Linked DNA regions of Oreochromis niloticus. The protein of the gene in region 1 interacts with the protein of each later gene in a pairwise test. Links are inferred from orthologs where the notes say so. Each region holds a gene or a part of one and is shown on either strand. Other genes may lie near its edges.

What was found. The genes of interacting proteins can lie anywhere in the genome.
Region 2: the proteins of probable ATP-dependent RNA helicase DDX17 (region 1) and wbp11 interact in a two-hybrid assay, tested with the Homo sapiens proteins (3 studies listed by BioGRID and IntAct). The link is inferred for Oreochromis niloticus from reciprocal best matches to the Homo sapiens genes DDX17 and WBP11.

Annotation. Positions count from the first base shown.
Region 1 is NC_031969.2:9,880,993-9,888,370, forward strand, and holds the start of probable ATP-dependent RNA helicase DDX17, read left to right. Parts: upstream 1-4,259; 5' UTR 4,260-4,585; coding exon 4,586-4,635; intron 4,636-4,758; coding exon 4,759-4,918; intron 4,919-5,014; coding exon 5,015-5,111; intron 5,112-5,214; coding exon 5,215-5,348; intron 5,349-5,441; coding exon 5,442-5,507; intron 5,508-5,650; coding exon 5,651-5,792; intron 5,793-5,926; coding exon 5,927-6,087; intron 6,088-6,226; coding exon 6,227-6,399; intron 6,400-6,528; coding exon 6,529-6,639; intron 6,640-6,996; coding exon 6,997-7,058; intron 7,059-7,224; coding exon 7,225-7,284; intron 7,285-7,378. Other genes in the region: transmembrane protein 184B, read left to right, coding at 291-485, 807-833, 1,364-1,593. UniProt on the Homo sapiens protein: As an RNA helicase, unwinds RNA and alters RNA structures through ATP binding and hydrolysis.
Region 2 is NC_031969.2:9,051,985-9,059,416, reverse strand, and holds the start of wbp11 (WW domain-binding protein 11), read left to right. Parts: upstream 1-4,321; 5' UTR 4,322-4,510; intron 4,511-5,080; 5' UTR 5,081-5,103; coding exon 5,104-5,167; intron 5,168-5,285; coding exon 5,286-5,317; intron 5,318-5,417; coding exon 5,418-5,511; intron 5,512-5,771; coding exon 5,772-5,968; intron 5,969-6,275; coding exon 6,276-6,409; intron 6,410-6,517; coding exon 6,518-6,675; intron 6,676-6,770; coding exon 6,771-7,004; intron 7,005-7,135; coding exon 7,136-7,261; intron 7,262-7,364; coding exon 7,365-7,432. Other genes in the region: uncharacterized protein C22orf31, read left to right, coding at 1,170-1,178, 2,126-2,245, 2,402-2,703, 2,812-2,998. UniProt on the Homo sapiens protein: Activates pre-mRNA splicing. May inhibit PP1 phosphatase activity.

The DNA.
Region 1 (7,378 bases):
CCTCAAGGGAACTGCTGCTTGCTCGCCACTGGCCCATTGGGGCATTGATGTTGTTTCCAGTAATGTGGCTGAAATAGAGTCTTAGAATCAATATTTTCACATTTAAAATATCAAAACAGATGAAAAATGTAACTTTTTTTAGCCTTGCGCTTACATTTCCAACACTAAAGGTTGCTGCTTAGTCTCTTGTCATGATTTCCATGCACAGATTCAAATGTTGCTGAACTCTCATGGAGTAATACATCACTGTTTTGATTTATGTTTTCATATTTTATCTTTGTATATTTCAGGGATGTTGTTGGCCATCCTGGAGAAGTGTGGCGCTATCCCCCAGATCAACTCTGCTGATTTCTCTGTGGGGGAGGGAACAGTTGCTGCTGGCTACCAAAACTTCATCATCTGCATTGAGATGTTCTTTGCTGCTATTGCTTTGCGCCATGCTTTTACTTACAAGGTCTACATGGACAAAAGGCTGGATTCATATGGTAAGCGGCATGTTTATGTGTGTGCCTTGATGTCTGGTTGTAGTAGAGAGTGAAATGTTCAAAGAGCAACTAACAGAGTATTATAATATTGTAATTATGTGATTAACAGAGGGTTCTTGATGAAGTCTTTCAAAGCTAATCTGACCTCACTCTTTGTGTCCCTCCCTCTTTACTTTGATTCCTATCTTTAACAATCTGTTTATTTTGAGTTGTTCTCTTTTCATCTGCCCTCTTTTCTATTCTTTTATTTTCATCTTGACCTTCTTGTGTTTCTTATCTCTTTCTCTCCTTTTCCTCCTCCTTCACTCTGCGGCACTCAAGGCTCATTTCCTATCTATGGACAGTACGGTACGTCTGATGTTAGCTATGTTTTGTCTGTATGTGACTCAGTTGTTTATGTTAAAATGGAATTTGATGTCTTTTTTTTCTCTTTGATTGTGGTTTAAAAGGAAATTACATTTCCATCGCTTGTGTTATGTGTTTCAGTTCAGTGTTTCATTTGCAGCATTGTATAGAAAATGCAGATATTGATGTTTCCATTAGATTTTGAAATTATGGATATTTCGCTGTGTTGTTTTGTGTTCTTTCATTTATTTTGCTGTCAGTTAATTCCGCCCTTCGTCATTTTGCCTTCCCACTTTGTTCAGTCTGTGGTCCTACCCTTGTCGTAAACCCTTGCCTTGATAATAAATATGCCAGATGGAGTGATAATATTTATCTTAATATATTTTATATTCTTTGCAACATTGCTTAGGTTTATTTGGACAATCCAGCTGGCAGTTGGGATGGAAACATAGTTTCTTTCTTTTTTCGCTCATGTATCGCTTCCATTCAGTGTCTCGTTCTTAATATTTACCACCTTCCCATCACACCTCCAGGTCGCTGTGCCCCAATGAAGAGCATTTCCAGCAGCCTGAAGGAGACGATGAATCCAGGAGACATGGTCCAGGACGCCATCCATAACTTCTCCCCAGCTTATCAGCAGTACACCCAGCAGTCCACATTAGAGCGAAGTGGAGGGCCACCACTCTCCCGCAGCCACAGTAACATCAGCACCCGCGGGGACAACGAAAAGACTCTTTTACTCAGCTCTGATGATGAGTTCTGAGACTCAAACACACACTCGGAAGCTAACCCTTACTCCTGTAGCCCTTCTCAAGTTTTTAGCAGCCATGGAAGACGAATCTGATCTTTTTTTCCGACCTCAACGTGGAAGTTCAGGCTGTGGTTCTGGTTATTTCACATTTAGATAACAGTGAAAGATCAGATTTATGTCATGGTTGCCAGATTGCTGAAACCGAGACAGGGCAGAGTCCTTTTCTAAGGAAAAAGGAAATGATTGCTACAGCACGGAAATGAGGAGCGTGAAAAGAATGTAGATATTACAAATAAAGTGAGGGAGGAGTGAGGTTGATTCTTTAACTGGCCAAGCTGTTATTTGTGTTGTTTTAGTTGTGATTTTAGGCCATCGCTGAAAGAAATGCGATTTTTGTATTCACCCGTGGAAAATGGATTCGTACAGATAACTGTGCCTGCATTATACCATCTTAATCCTGCACTAATGACACTATGGCATTAAAAATGTTAGATATGAGCTGGAGAAAGTAAGTGCCATCTTCTTCTGAGACACATGGCCTCTTTATTCTTTACGCTTTACACTGATTCATAATCAATATTCCTCCTCACCTCTCTGCTAGTGCTCTCACTCTTTGTAACTATATATTGCCAAATAGCACCCTGTGCTCCAAATAACAAGACACTGTCTTAAAGTTTAGGATTGTTTTTTAATTTTTTTTCAAGTAGCCTTTGAATTGCAGGGGTTATTTTTAATATATGACTTCAATGACAAATAAATATTTTATCTAAATGTTGTTTGAGCTCGAAGGTTTATGTTATTGTTATCCTAGAAATTTTATGAGTTTACTGAGGATGTCATCATTATGTAATGTAATGGCATTCCAGCTGTTGGCCAGACTCTCTATTGTTTGGGGAGAAGCACAGTAACAGCTGTAGGAGAGATTTTTAGCGTAGGCAGGAGGACTGACGGAAGGACAGCGCCCACACAGATTACAGATTACTGATGGAGCAACACTTTCCTGCACAGTCGGCCCAGCTGTGATGCACCCTGGATTGTGATCTCATAATTAATGGCATTACATGCTGCACAGATTGGCGCTGCCTCTGCTGGTGTCATTTGTAATGGCATCACTACGACAGCAGCGGCAAATATGTCACGTTGTCAGTCGCTACAGATAGAGAATGCGAAGATATGTTGGTGAAAACAAGGCTTTAAATCAGATTGAAATCACATTTGTACTTGAATATATTGAGCATTTTAAACTTGGTGGTCAGTACAGGGACATGAAAAGTGACTAAACACCTTCAGGCTGGCCAGAAATCCTCTGGTTGGCATTATGTTTTCTTTTTCCAAAAGATGGCTGGAACTGTTTGAGTTATGCATTCATATTTTATCCAGTTATGTTTAATATGCGTTTACACAGTGGCTGGTATATAACTCGCATGTGGTTTGTGGTTCTAAATGTTTTAATGGCAGAGCACAGCTGTATAAAAGCTGAGATTCTGTTTATGTTGAGTGTATATCCATTTAACAGACTGGAGGTAGTGACTGCGGGTCGACACATAGTACATCACCGCCCAACCCTTTGCGAGAAAAGGAGTCAACCCAGCCAAAGTGATGTGTGTGTTTTCAGTTTATGTCCTAATGAGAAAATCATATTCGGTCAAGAGAAGGTGGGTGAAAGTGTTTGGATTCCATCTGTGACCCACATCCCATCCAGCCGCCACCCGCCTCCCACCCCAGTGACCGCATCACTTGTGTATCTTTCTACTAAACCTGCATTGCTTCAGTTAAAATCAAGGTCGAGTGTGTTTGTTCTGAGCGTTTCATACTTGAGCATTTTCTTCAAAACACTATCAGATCATAATTTTGCAAAGCTTATTGTATTTTAATCCAGAAAATACTATATCCAAATGGAAGGAACGCTGTAAATAAAGTCAAACTTAGTGCTGCAAAACCTTTATGACGACGACAATGGGACGCCATTGCTTGGTATAGTGCTCTGTTTGAATATATTTGTGTTTTGATGGTTTCATTTCATATATACTCCTGTTTTATTTTTAATTTTTTTGTTGTATGATATTTTTTTTGTTTGTATATTGGTAATATCACATGTTTTGATGCTATATTGATTTCTGTTGATGTTTCAAAAAGAAATAAAAGATGAATAGTAAAATAAAAAGACATTTCTGGCAGTTTTTGCAGGCTTGTAGACTCCATCATTCTCATTAGCAAAATATTAGAACCCCTGCAAACACCATTGACAGAGTCTATTGTTCAAGTAATGTTTTGGACAGTATATGCTTTTTACTCTACTTTTGTTATTTAGTAGTTATCCCCCCTCCCTCTCTTTCTCAGACCATTCTCTGTAAACCCTAGAGACGGTTATGTGGGAAAATCGTAATATTTCACTATTTTCTGATATACTCAGATTAGCCCGACTGGAACCAACAACCATGTCATCTTCAAAGCCACTTAAATCGCCTTAAATTCTAAAGCTCGGTTTGTAGTTCAGCGGGTCATCTTGATGGCCTGTTTGCTTTAAGGAGCAGCTGACCACGTGAACCGGATCAAATGGCCGGTGAGTGTATTGCATTAAGTTTCCAAAGCTGTTTAATAAATGGCCAAGTAAGTAAACAGACGTACGCGTGCCATGAGTATGTCACTCACAGTATAGGGGCGGGGCTTATCCAGCCGCCAGCCAGTCACAGCAGCTTCCGGTTCTGTGTTAAGCTAACAACAACACAGAACCATCTCCTGCGTCTTATTACTATTGCAACCCTAACGACGCTTGTCACAAAGGAAATATGGCGGGTTGTGCTACTTAACTTTTCAGCAGGCATTTACGAAGACGACATTTTAATTTATTTTTGATTTAGTCAGTTGTCCAAGCTAATTCACGGTCTCGCCGAGTGAAGCTTCTGGAGTTTTCAAGCAAGGCCAGAAAAAGTATCTGTAAGCAAAAGCCTTACAACCTGTAGAAGATAAGGTCCATTAGGAAAACTTACTAAGAGCCCTCAAAATGAGAGGTTCTTACGGAGACAGAGACCGAGACCGTGGTCGTGACAGAGGGTAAGAGGACTGCTAAGTTAGCTTGTCAGCTAATGCTAGTTAGTTATCATAAAACCCTATTATATGTTTTTATTGTGACTAGCAGCGGTTGCTTTGACCTTACAGTTCGTTGTCATATTCCAGCAATCCCCGATTCGGATCAAGCAGAGGCGGACCACCCCCGGGTAAGAAGTTTCGGAATCCCGGGGAACGCTTACGAAAGAAGAGATGGGACCTGAATGAGCTTCCCAAATTTGAGAAAAACTTCTATAATGAAAATTCCGAAGTGCAGCGAATGAGCCAGGTATTATGTCCGTCATGTCACAGTCTGACCTTCAGCTGCACCTGTTGTGTTGTTTAGTCTGTGTTCACTTGTTGCTTTTCTTCTCTTTGTTCTCAGTATGATGTTGAGGAGTATCGCAGAAAGAAAGAAATCACAGTCCGAGGCTCAGGCTGCCCAAAACCTGTCACCAGCTTCCATCATGCACAGTTTCCTCGTAAGCACATGCACTCATGGATACACCTGCAGCACTGTGGACAGTTTGCAGACATACATAACCAGAAACTTTGTCGTCCCTTATTTTTGCTTCTTCCAACTAGAATATGTAATGGATGTACTGGTGCAGCAAAACTTCAAGGAACCAACAGCCATTCAGGCTCAAGGTTTCCCTTTGGCACTCAGTGGGAGAGACATGGTGGGCATTGCTCAGACGGGCTCTGGAAAGACTTTATCGGTGAGATGTGTCTTCCTCTGCACCTGTACGCATCACACAGATGAATTTCACAGGTGAAAGATTAACCAGTCTTCCATATTTTTCTTCTTTCAGTATCTCCTGCCTGCAATTGTGCACATCAATCATCAGCCCTACTTGGAGCGTGGAGATGGACCCATTGTACGTGAAGAGAAAAGGAGAGCACTAATCACTGAGTAGTCTGCCTTGGAGTAACCTAATTGTATTAGAGACCTCAAAGCACAACATAAAACTAACAAACACTAAAGAGAGGATTGATGTGGCTTTATATATGTGCTGTGCAGTGCTTGGTGTTGGCCCCCACAAGAGAACTAGCTCAGCAGGTCCAGCAGGTGGCATATGACTATGGAAAGTCATCACGCATCAAAAGCACTTGTGTGTACGGCGGTGCTCCCAAGGGACCTCAAATACGAGACTTGGAGAGAGGTGAAGACTACTACAGCATGCAATCATACAGTTGTGTCCTTTTGGGAACCACTTTCGATTAGTCTGTAACTTATTTATTTTCAGTTTAACTGATTATATTACACACTGAAACATGCTAACTTTGTCTCGCTCAGGTGTTGAAATCTGCATCGCCACTCCGGGTCGTCTCATTGACTTCCTGGAAGCTGGAAAGACCAACCTGCGGCGCTGCACATACCTAGTTCTGGATGAGGCTGACCGCATGCTGGACATGGGTTTCGAACCACAGATACGCAAAATTGTGGATCAGATCAGGGTAAACGCTAATACTCAAAGGCTATATCTGTCTTTTTGTTTTTTTCTTAGGTTTTTTTGTTTTCTGCTGCTTACTCTTGTGTTTTAAGTCAAAGCTGTTTTAGTGTACAGTGTTTTACTTGGTGGGTTCTTTTGCCCAGCCGGACAGACAGACTCTGATGTGGAGCGCTACCTGGCCTAAAGAAGTTCGCCAACTGGCAGAGGACTTCCTGAAGGACTATGTCCAGATCAATGTTGGAGCTCTGGAGCTCAGCGCTAACCACAACATCCTTCAAATTGTTGATGTTTGCGTGGAGAGCGAAAAGGACCAAAAGTAAGAGTTTGGTGGTCTGGTCACATAGGAATTATTTTCTCACATTAAGAATAACAGCATCTGCTGTGTTTGGTGTGTGCGTTTACATCCCTTTAATTATAATGCATTTGCTTCTTTTGCTTTTCTCAGGCTTATCCAGCTGATGGAAGAGATTATGGCTGAGAAGGAAAACAAGACCATCATCTTCGTTGAGACCAAGAAACGGTGTGATGACCTGACACGTAGGATGAGACGTGACGGGTGAGTATACCAACTCATCCCAGCATCTGTTTTAACTGCAGACTGTAATAAAGAATGGACACCATGATGTCACCCAGTGGTATGGTCTATGCTGAAGTTGGGCAGTTTAACACTGGAGTGTGTATGGACTGGAGATATTGGAGCTTTTTAAGCTATTCCACAGCCTTAGCTAAGCACAGTCATTTAGGAGCAATAATTGAAGACTTGTCAAAATGGTCCACTGTAAATATTGAATTGTACTTTTGCTTGAATTGCCCATCACTGGTTTGTAGTACATCAGATGAATGGTTGTAGAGAAAATCAAAAGAGCAGACACACACAGGCACACGCTGTTAAAGTTGCTGATTTGTCTTCTAGGTGGCCAGCGATGTGTATTCATGGTGACAAGAGTCAGCCAGAGAGAGACTGGGTATTAGCAGGTACAATAAACACACTCACTGACATTTCATTGTATGGCAGGTCTTTGCACTGTTGTGTTGTGCTGCCCTGAACCATGTGTTGGCTCTGCTTGCATAATTACACAAACTGAACTGAATTAAATTGAATAACTGATCCTAATCACCTTTTATTCGTCTCATGTTGCAGAGTTTCGGAGTGGCAAAGCCCCCATCCTCATTGCTACTGACGTCGCCTCACGTGGGCTTGGTATGTCATGTGTGCTCAAGTATAAAGCAAGTAATTTCCTAAGTATAGCCCCACACACATGCAGTATATTTCCCTCTTCAGTATTTAGAATGAT
Region 2 (7,432 bases), about 830 kb from region 1:
TGTGTGTGTGAATGGGTGAATGAGGCATGTTGTATAAAGTGCTCTGAGTGTGCAAGTGGAGCAGAAAAATGCTGTATAAAAACCAGACCATTTACATTTATAACATAGAGGCATTTCAGAATTTAGTATTTAGTGTTGGTATTATTTAACTTTTGTTTTGTGGGTTTTTTTCTTGTTTTTTTCTTGCACCACCTAATTTGGTTGTGATACTGTGACAGTGACTCACTGACAATAAAGTCTCTTATGTATTATATAATTGTCCCTTTTAGTTTTATTTAAAATCTTCTCTCAGATGTAACTGTTTTCTGTTTTGAAGACCGCAACAAAACGAATGTCAAAAACTGACCACAGGGTGATATATCGAAAGAAATCGTCTTAAATCCATTTCTGAGGCTGGGACAGACAGTGCGTTGCATGTGGATTCATGAGCATGAGCGGTCAGAAATACCACCAAAGACTAAGGCACTGCAAACTGACAGAGCATAAGAGAGATTTTTATACAGACACCTTTTGGAAAGAAGTTATTTCTGCAACACATCGCTCTAGAGATTGACTTTGGAGCTGTACAAAGCATAGCTGTTTCCACGGTAAAATGCTGACACCTATTGGTCAAAGTAGGTAGTGCAGCGGGTTCAGTACAGTGAGTAGAAAGAGAGAATTTGCTACTCTCCGGGCCATTTATAAAATAAGCACAACTTATGAAGTCCAGTATTTTTAATTACAATGAGCTGATGTGATATGCTGTGGCAGCTAAACCACTTTTGCTCTGTTCTGACGTATTTTCATATGATCATTACGCACCACTTTGATGCAGTAATTATGTGGATGCCCAAATATTAAAAAAAAAAAAGCCGCCATAACTAAAGTTGAACTGGGGGAAAAACTCACTAAAAATAATTATTACAGGGATTTTTAACAGTAGGTACAAAAAAGCGTGATTTAAGCGAGCGTGGTTGCTATGCGTCCCCAGGTTCTATTTGCATTGCATCTTTTGATATAGTTCAGACACATTTCACTCGACGTGTTGTGCAAAGCTACAAGGGATTTCTGCAAATTTCTGCAAATTTCTGCAAAAGTAAGACACCTTTCTGCTCAAGACTTCTTGCAGCCTTACAAGAGTTCAACTCCCACCGTCACGAAGGAAAGCGACCCAGCATCCATCATCCGTCATGGACAAGGTGAGATTTTATGACCGTTTTCAATATAGTTTGGAAGTTTTGAAAGAGTTCACTTTGCCAACAGGGCAACGTGAAAATATAGAAGACATATATGTGAATAAAAGGCATTAAAAACTCCCAATTTAGGCCTACACACGTGGGAGTTATGCTTGCATGTTAGACTGTTGCACTCTAGCTGTAAACAGGGTAAACTGTGCATCATTTAAACTTGCATGTTACCTATAATGTTTTCTTTTGCGTGTATTAAATGATCTTGTGGCAGACATGTCACCAAAGTTTGCAGCTGAGATAAAAAATGTTCAGTTTTTGCTAATAAGTAGAGTATCCTACATCTGTGATTAACTGAAATGCATAATGATCACCAGGGGGGGTGCATGTTGCTGTTTGGGGGGATAAAAAAAGTAAACACTGAGACTTTATTCACTGTAGAAAAGCTAATCCCTAAAATGTTTATTTACAAATTAGCAAGCAATGATGTTCAGCATCATCTGAATTCTCAAAATCATTTAAACCACACATGACCGAGCTTAGCCAGTTACAAAGGTATTTTGTGCATCTGCATTGTTCAAAAACGGCAATAAGCAGCAATGATTATAACAGAAATTAGAGTTTAATACAACATGGACTTTGGTGTTTGTTAACTTATGTAAATTATTATTTGAAATGTCATTTGGGGGTATGCAGCAGTGAAGCTCTAACATGATGAGCCCATAAGTTGACAGTCTTTTATTACACTGACCTTGATGCATTGTCCTGGTTTTAGTTCTTATGATTTTCTGTGAACATGTTGGATATTTTTTGTCGTTACACTCACTGTGGACAAGTTATTCAACCATGCAAGTGGTTTAAGTAGTTTTTGGACATATTAAAGGGTTTGTTTGTTTTTAAATGTTTCATGAACTACTAACTGATGTTTGCATTACTGTCATTTTTGTGTATACCTGCAGCTTACTGTGCCCGTTCACCTCAAAGACCATAATTATCGGATGAAAAACACTGCATGCCGGGCCCGTGATGCAAAGAAACCCAGAGCCTGCAGCAAACAACCATGCTGCAGCAAGGACCAGGTTGGATGTGTAAAATTTCATTAACAGAACCATTTAAGGATTTTGGAGTTTGGACTTCCATGTCGTTCATCAAATTTAAATTTTTGTCTTGTTTGAAAAAAATGAGGTCATTAATAACTACTGACATTCCCTTGTGTGCTTCTGACCTTTCTCCAGGTTATTAATTCAACCCTGAGGCCCCGGCGCTCTGATAGAATAGCCAGTCAGCCCCAGAAAAGGAAGCGAAGCCCAGCATCCAGTTCTTCCCGACCTTTGGTTAAACCTCGAAAGAACTCGGTGCCTCCCTCTGCTATCTCACATGACGACCTGCCAGTGGCAAAAAAAATGCCCCCCAGACCCGAGCCATGCAGTACCGACCACCAGCCAACCAGCTCCGGTGACAGCCCTTTAAAAATCCACAATCTCTCAGTGGAAGATTATCAGCGACTCTACCATGAGGTGGTAGATAGCATGCTGACGTACGTTTGTCTCCAAATCTCCTGTCACTTTTTAAAATCGCCAGCTCTAAAATGGTTACAGTAGGTTTTTGACCACATGCATCATTTTGATTGAATTTCTTTTTGCAGGTACAAGAATGGCCGCCCTCGTCCCTACAGTTTAGAGCTGGGGAGACGCATTAAGAAAAAGCTGTGGGAGAGACTGAATCGTCCTGTGGTGCAGACATCAACTAACGAGGATGGACTTGAACACATTGACATGGTGTATGGGCAAAAAGTCAAACTCCCAAACTATGATTTTGACATTTCGAGTTAGCCACATCCTCAACATCCACCGAGCAAAAGAGGAAAGGAAAACTGAATGTAGAGCAGCAGGAGCACTGCTACAAGACATACAATCAAAAACTGTGAAACACACAAATCAACTGTAGATAAAATTACTGTAAATATATGACAAATGTTTTTGTAAATAGTTCAGATGTGACTTTAATGATTAAAATGTAATTTCTGCACAAGTTTGTGTGTCTGTATATTATATTCCACTGTGTGTTTGGACAACTGTTTAAGGTCACTCTCTGAGAACATGCACTGCACAGTACTACAAAAATGTGATGCTGGATGACATCTGCATTTCCATTCAATAATTGTCTCTTCAAACTATTTCATGACTGCCTGACTGATTTTAAAAACGCATCAACCATAATCAGGACACAGCCACAGATTTTTGGATCACATGATGAAAACTGTAAACCTCCATAGGACTTTTATTTTGAAAAATCACTATTTATATTATTATTTATCTGAATCAAAATGGCTAATTTGAAGTCCTTGTTGACCATAATATATATTCAGGCACTGTGAACAAAACATAACATCCAACTTTAATTCACTAGCACGTTTGTCTTTTTAAAGACAACACATTACTTAACTTCCTTGAATAAAGTGCAGAATGCTAGAGATTTATGTCATTCTGTTTGCAGACTGTCTTATACAAAAAGAAACTTCTTTTCATCAGATGTGACTTTTATGCAGCCTTCATTTATTCAGGTAAAAAGGTGTCACTGACATTAAAAATGTCGTTTTCAAACGAGGTCTGGCCTGGAGGGCTGCAGAAGTTATAAAAAATCACAGTCCTTTAAAGAACTGTGATGTTCTTCAAGTGGCCGAAAAGGACTGGATGGATGGATATAATGATTCATAGAGCTGCTTTCAAATTGGATTTATTTAACATATAACCCATTTTTTAAACTCTGTTTACTGCAGCCTATTTAACAATATAAGCAACTATATTAGACAAAAAAACAAACATAAAAAGATATCTAGACATAAAAAAAAACCACGCAAAAAGTGATTGGCATACGCAACCCAACACATACGACCACTTTTTGGCACACCAGTGCAGTGAGGTTGTAATTGCTACTTGTAACCATCGGGGGGCAGTATCGCTAGAGTGCAGTCTTGGATCCTGTAACAAGAATCACCCTTCGTTATCGTTAGAGCCACATTGCGCCATACAATATGAAAATAATAAAGTCCTAGTATATGTACAAATACTATAAAGTGAAGTTTTAAATAATACCGTTTGTCCAGTTAGTTTTATTTTTCTTTCACTGCTCGCTTGTTTTGATGACGTCAAAATCGCCTTTCCGCTTTCATTCGCGGCAGTAAACATGGCGGACGGTTAGCGAAGCCACGGTGTGATTTTCAATTCTGGGGGGTTTGGATTTCTCTTTAAGGGCGTACGCAAAACGCGTTGCATTGCTTTTGGCACACGGAGGTGTGCGTGTGTGTAGGGCGTTGTGCCCTGTGAGTTTTTACTGAATAAAAGGTACAGTGCATTTTTCCCTCCTGTGCTGCTTTCGTTGCTAACGCGGGCCTAGCTATAAGTGCAAGCTAACGTTAGCCGCTAACCTGCCAAGCAAATGCTTTTGACCGGCATGATTTAACATATATATATATATATATATATATGTCTGTGTGTTTGTGTTACAAAAGTGTGATTGGCTCTGTGGTGTTTTTCAGCTCATTCAATAGTTTAATTGTGCAAAAGCGTAACACATAGATGTTGGGGGAGCTTAGATTGAGTCGTGCGTTGATTGTCAACTTTCTTATCTTCTTTGCTAATAATAGCTAACAGTAAAGTTCTTTAAGGTGTGTATTGCAGACAGTTTGGTTAAATTGCCTTGATATCGAAGTTAGAATTAACAAAAAGGAGACTGCAGTTTGTCAAAAATGAATTCAAACATTGTTTTAAGTGTCATTGATTCATAAATATGAGCTAAAAGTGTTATTTTACGTTGTGACAAATTCCGACTTGTTTTTGAACGTACCATAAAATAACAACGTATGGTTTCCTTTACATTTATCTTCTCTTCTGTTTTGCTGTATTACATGGCAGCGTGAAGCAGACCCACCGTCACAATGGGGCGACGTTCAACCTCCTCCACCAAGAGTGGGAAGTTTATGAATCCCACCGACCAGGCCAGTAAGTGCTGATAACAAACTGGCGCTAATTCAATCATGAATTGATCTCCTGAATGCTCAGTTGCTGATTAGATATAAAAATGGTCATTTCTTTCTCCCCCCAACCCCCACTCCTACAGGAAAGGAGGCCAGAAAAAGGGAGTTAAAAAAGGTTAGAACCATTCACTTTTAAAAGAAGATAATTCTAAATATGCAGGATAATAATACTGTGATAATATGATGGTAACATCATTTTCTTTTGGAAATATTAGAACAAGAAGCAGAGGATGATGGTGAGAGCAGCAGTCCTGAAGATGAAGGATCCCAGACAGATCATCAGAGACATGGAGAAGCTGGATGAGATGGGTGAGATGACAGGGCTGAGTTTATGGAGTTTACATGTTAGAAATATATTTAGTTGTAGCTATTTAGTTGTATGTTTGCCACTAGTAGAGGACCTGAGCTTGTGGAACACGTGTATCAGTAGAGTTATACTATATATAATTCATGTGTGTATTTAAGGATTTCAGGCCTTTAGGTAACAGCAGAAAATCACAGTCAAAATCTGATTTCTACAATTCATTTGCTGCTTTTCTAATGAAAATAATTACTTTGTTTCTGAACAGAGTTCAACCCAGTTCAGCAGCCGTTGCTGAATGAGAAGGTGTTGCGGGACAAGAGGAAGAAGTTGCGTGAGACATTTGAGCGCATTGTTCGTCTGTACGAAAGAGAGAATCCCGAAACCTACAAAGAGCTACGCAAACTTGAACTGGACTATGAGACCAAAAGAGGGCAGCTGTCTCTTTATTTTGACTCAGTCAAGGTGTGTTGAATCTACATGACAGTTTGGGGGGGCGGGGTTCCTCAGTTTATAATAAATCTTGCATGAATTGATGCAGGGATGAGAGGTATATTGTATGCACATTTTCCTACAGGCTTGTGTACGCCTTGTTGGCCTGGAAAAAAATCTTAAAAGTCAGGATTATTAAAATTTTGGGGAGACACCAAAACCCATTACTCGTCTTTTATTTGTCTTGAGCTTGAGTGCTTCAGATGTGTGCTCCATTACCTTATTTATCCTTTGTTGTGCTCTCTGTTTACTCTGTTGTGTGACGTTTCCTCTTTTTCAGAATGCAGAGTTGGTGGAGGTTGACAGTATCCCTCTACCAGACATGCCTCATGCCCCATCCAGTATCCACATCCAGGACATCCCATTACCAGGGGCTCAGCCTCCCTCCATATTGAAGAAGAGCTCCACTTTTGGGTAAGACTCATTCTATGAGTAGTAAAAGTTTCAGCAGTTAAACTCCGTATGTGACATTTAGAATTTTAATGTGCAGTTGAGTTAATTCTGTTTTTATGCATGTCTTAGTAAAGGACCATCGTCCTCCGGACCAGCATTGGCAACAGTGCCAGGTGTCCCACGCTTACCTCCAGGGAAGAAGCCCCCTGGGCCTCCACCTGGCCCCCCACCTCCTCAGGTCCTGGCACTGTATGGACCTGCTCGACGCGGTTACGGCACAGATGCAGGTGAGATACAGCCAGTTTCCCTCTGATAATCAAATGATTTTTTTTCACCTATAATTTAACATTTCTTCTTGTTACACTATTTCTCCTTTGAACAGAGCCTTCCATTCCTGGATTTGAAAAGGACTCTGCAATGGATTTGGGGAGAGATCGGGACAGCGGGAGTGAGAGCGACAGAGATCAGGACGATATTGATGACGACAGCGACTCTGAAGACATCAGTGAAGAAGAGAGAGATGAAGGGGGAGATGGCGAACAGAGAATGCGCTTGGACAGGCAGGACGATGAGAGAGAACGAGAAGAAGATAGAGACAGAAGTGAAAGACATGGTGGTGAGTGTTTCTGACTGCTTCAACACATTTAAGCCTCAGCTCACGTCTTTGTTGCCTTTATTTATCTCTTGATCTTACAACTGTTTGTATTCTGTTGTATTTCTGAATTTGTTATTGTTTGACTACTGCAGGTCGTAGCGTACGTTTCGCAGATATGCCTGCAGAGGCACCCCGTGACGGAAAAAAGAAGAAGAAGAGGGTTGTGAAGAAGACCAAGGCCATTACACCTCTGCAAGCCATGATGTTAAGGATGGCAGGTACTGTCAATGCTAAGCACTTACTAAGCTTGTGCTCCTCTGTTTCTTTTCTTTGTATGGAGATATGCTATGGCATTTTTATTTATTTATTTTTTGTCTTCAGGTCAGTCAGTTCCTGAAGAAGAGGAAGAAGAAGAGGTAGAGGAAGAATACACAGATGAATCAGACAGC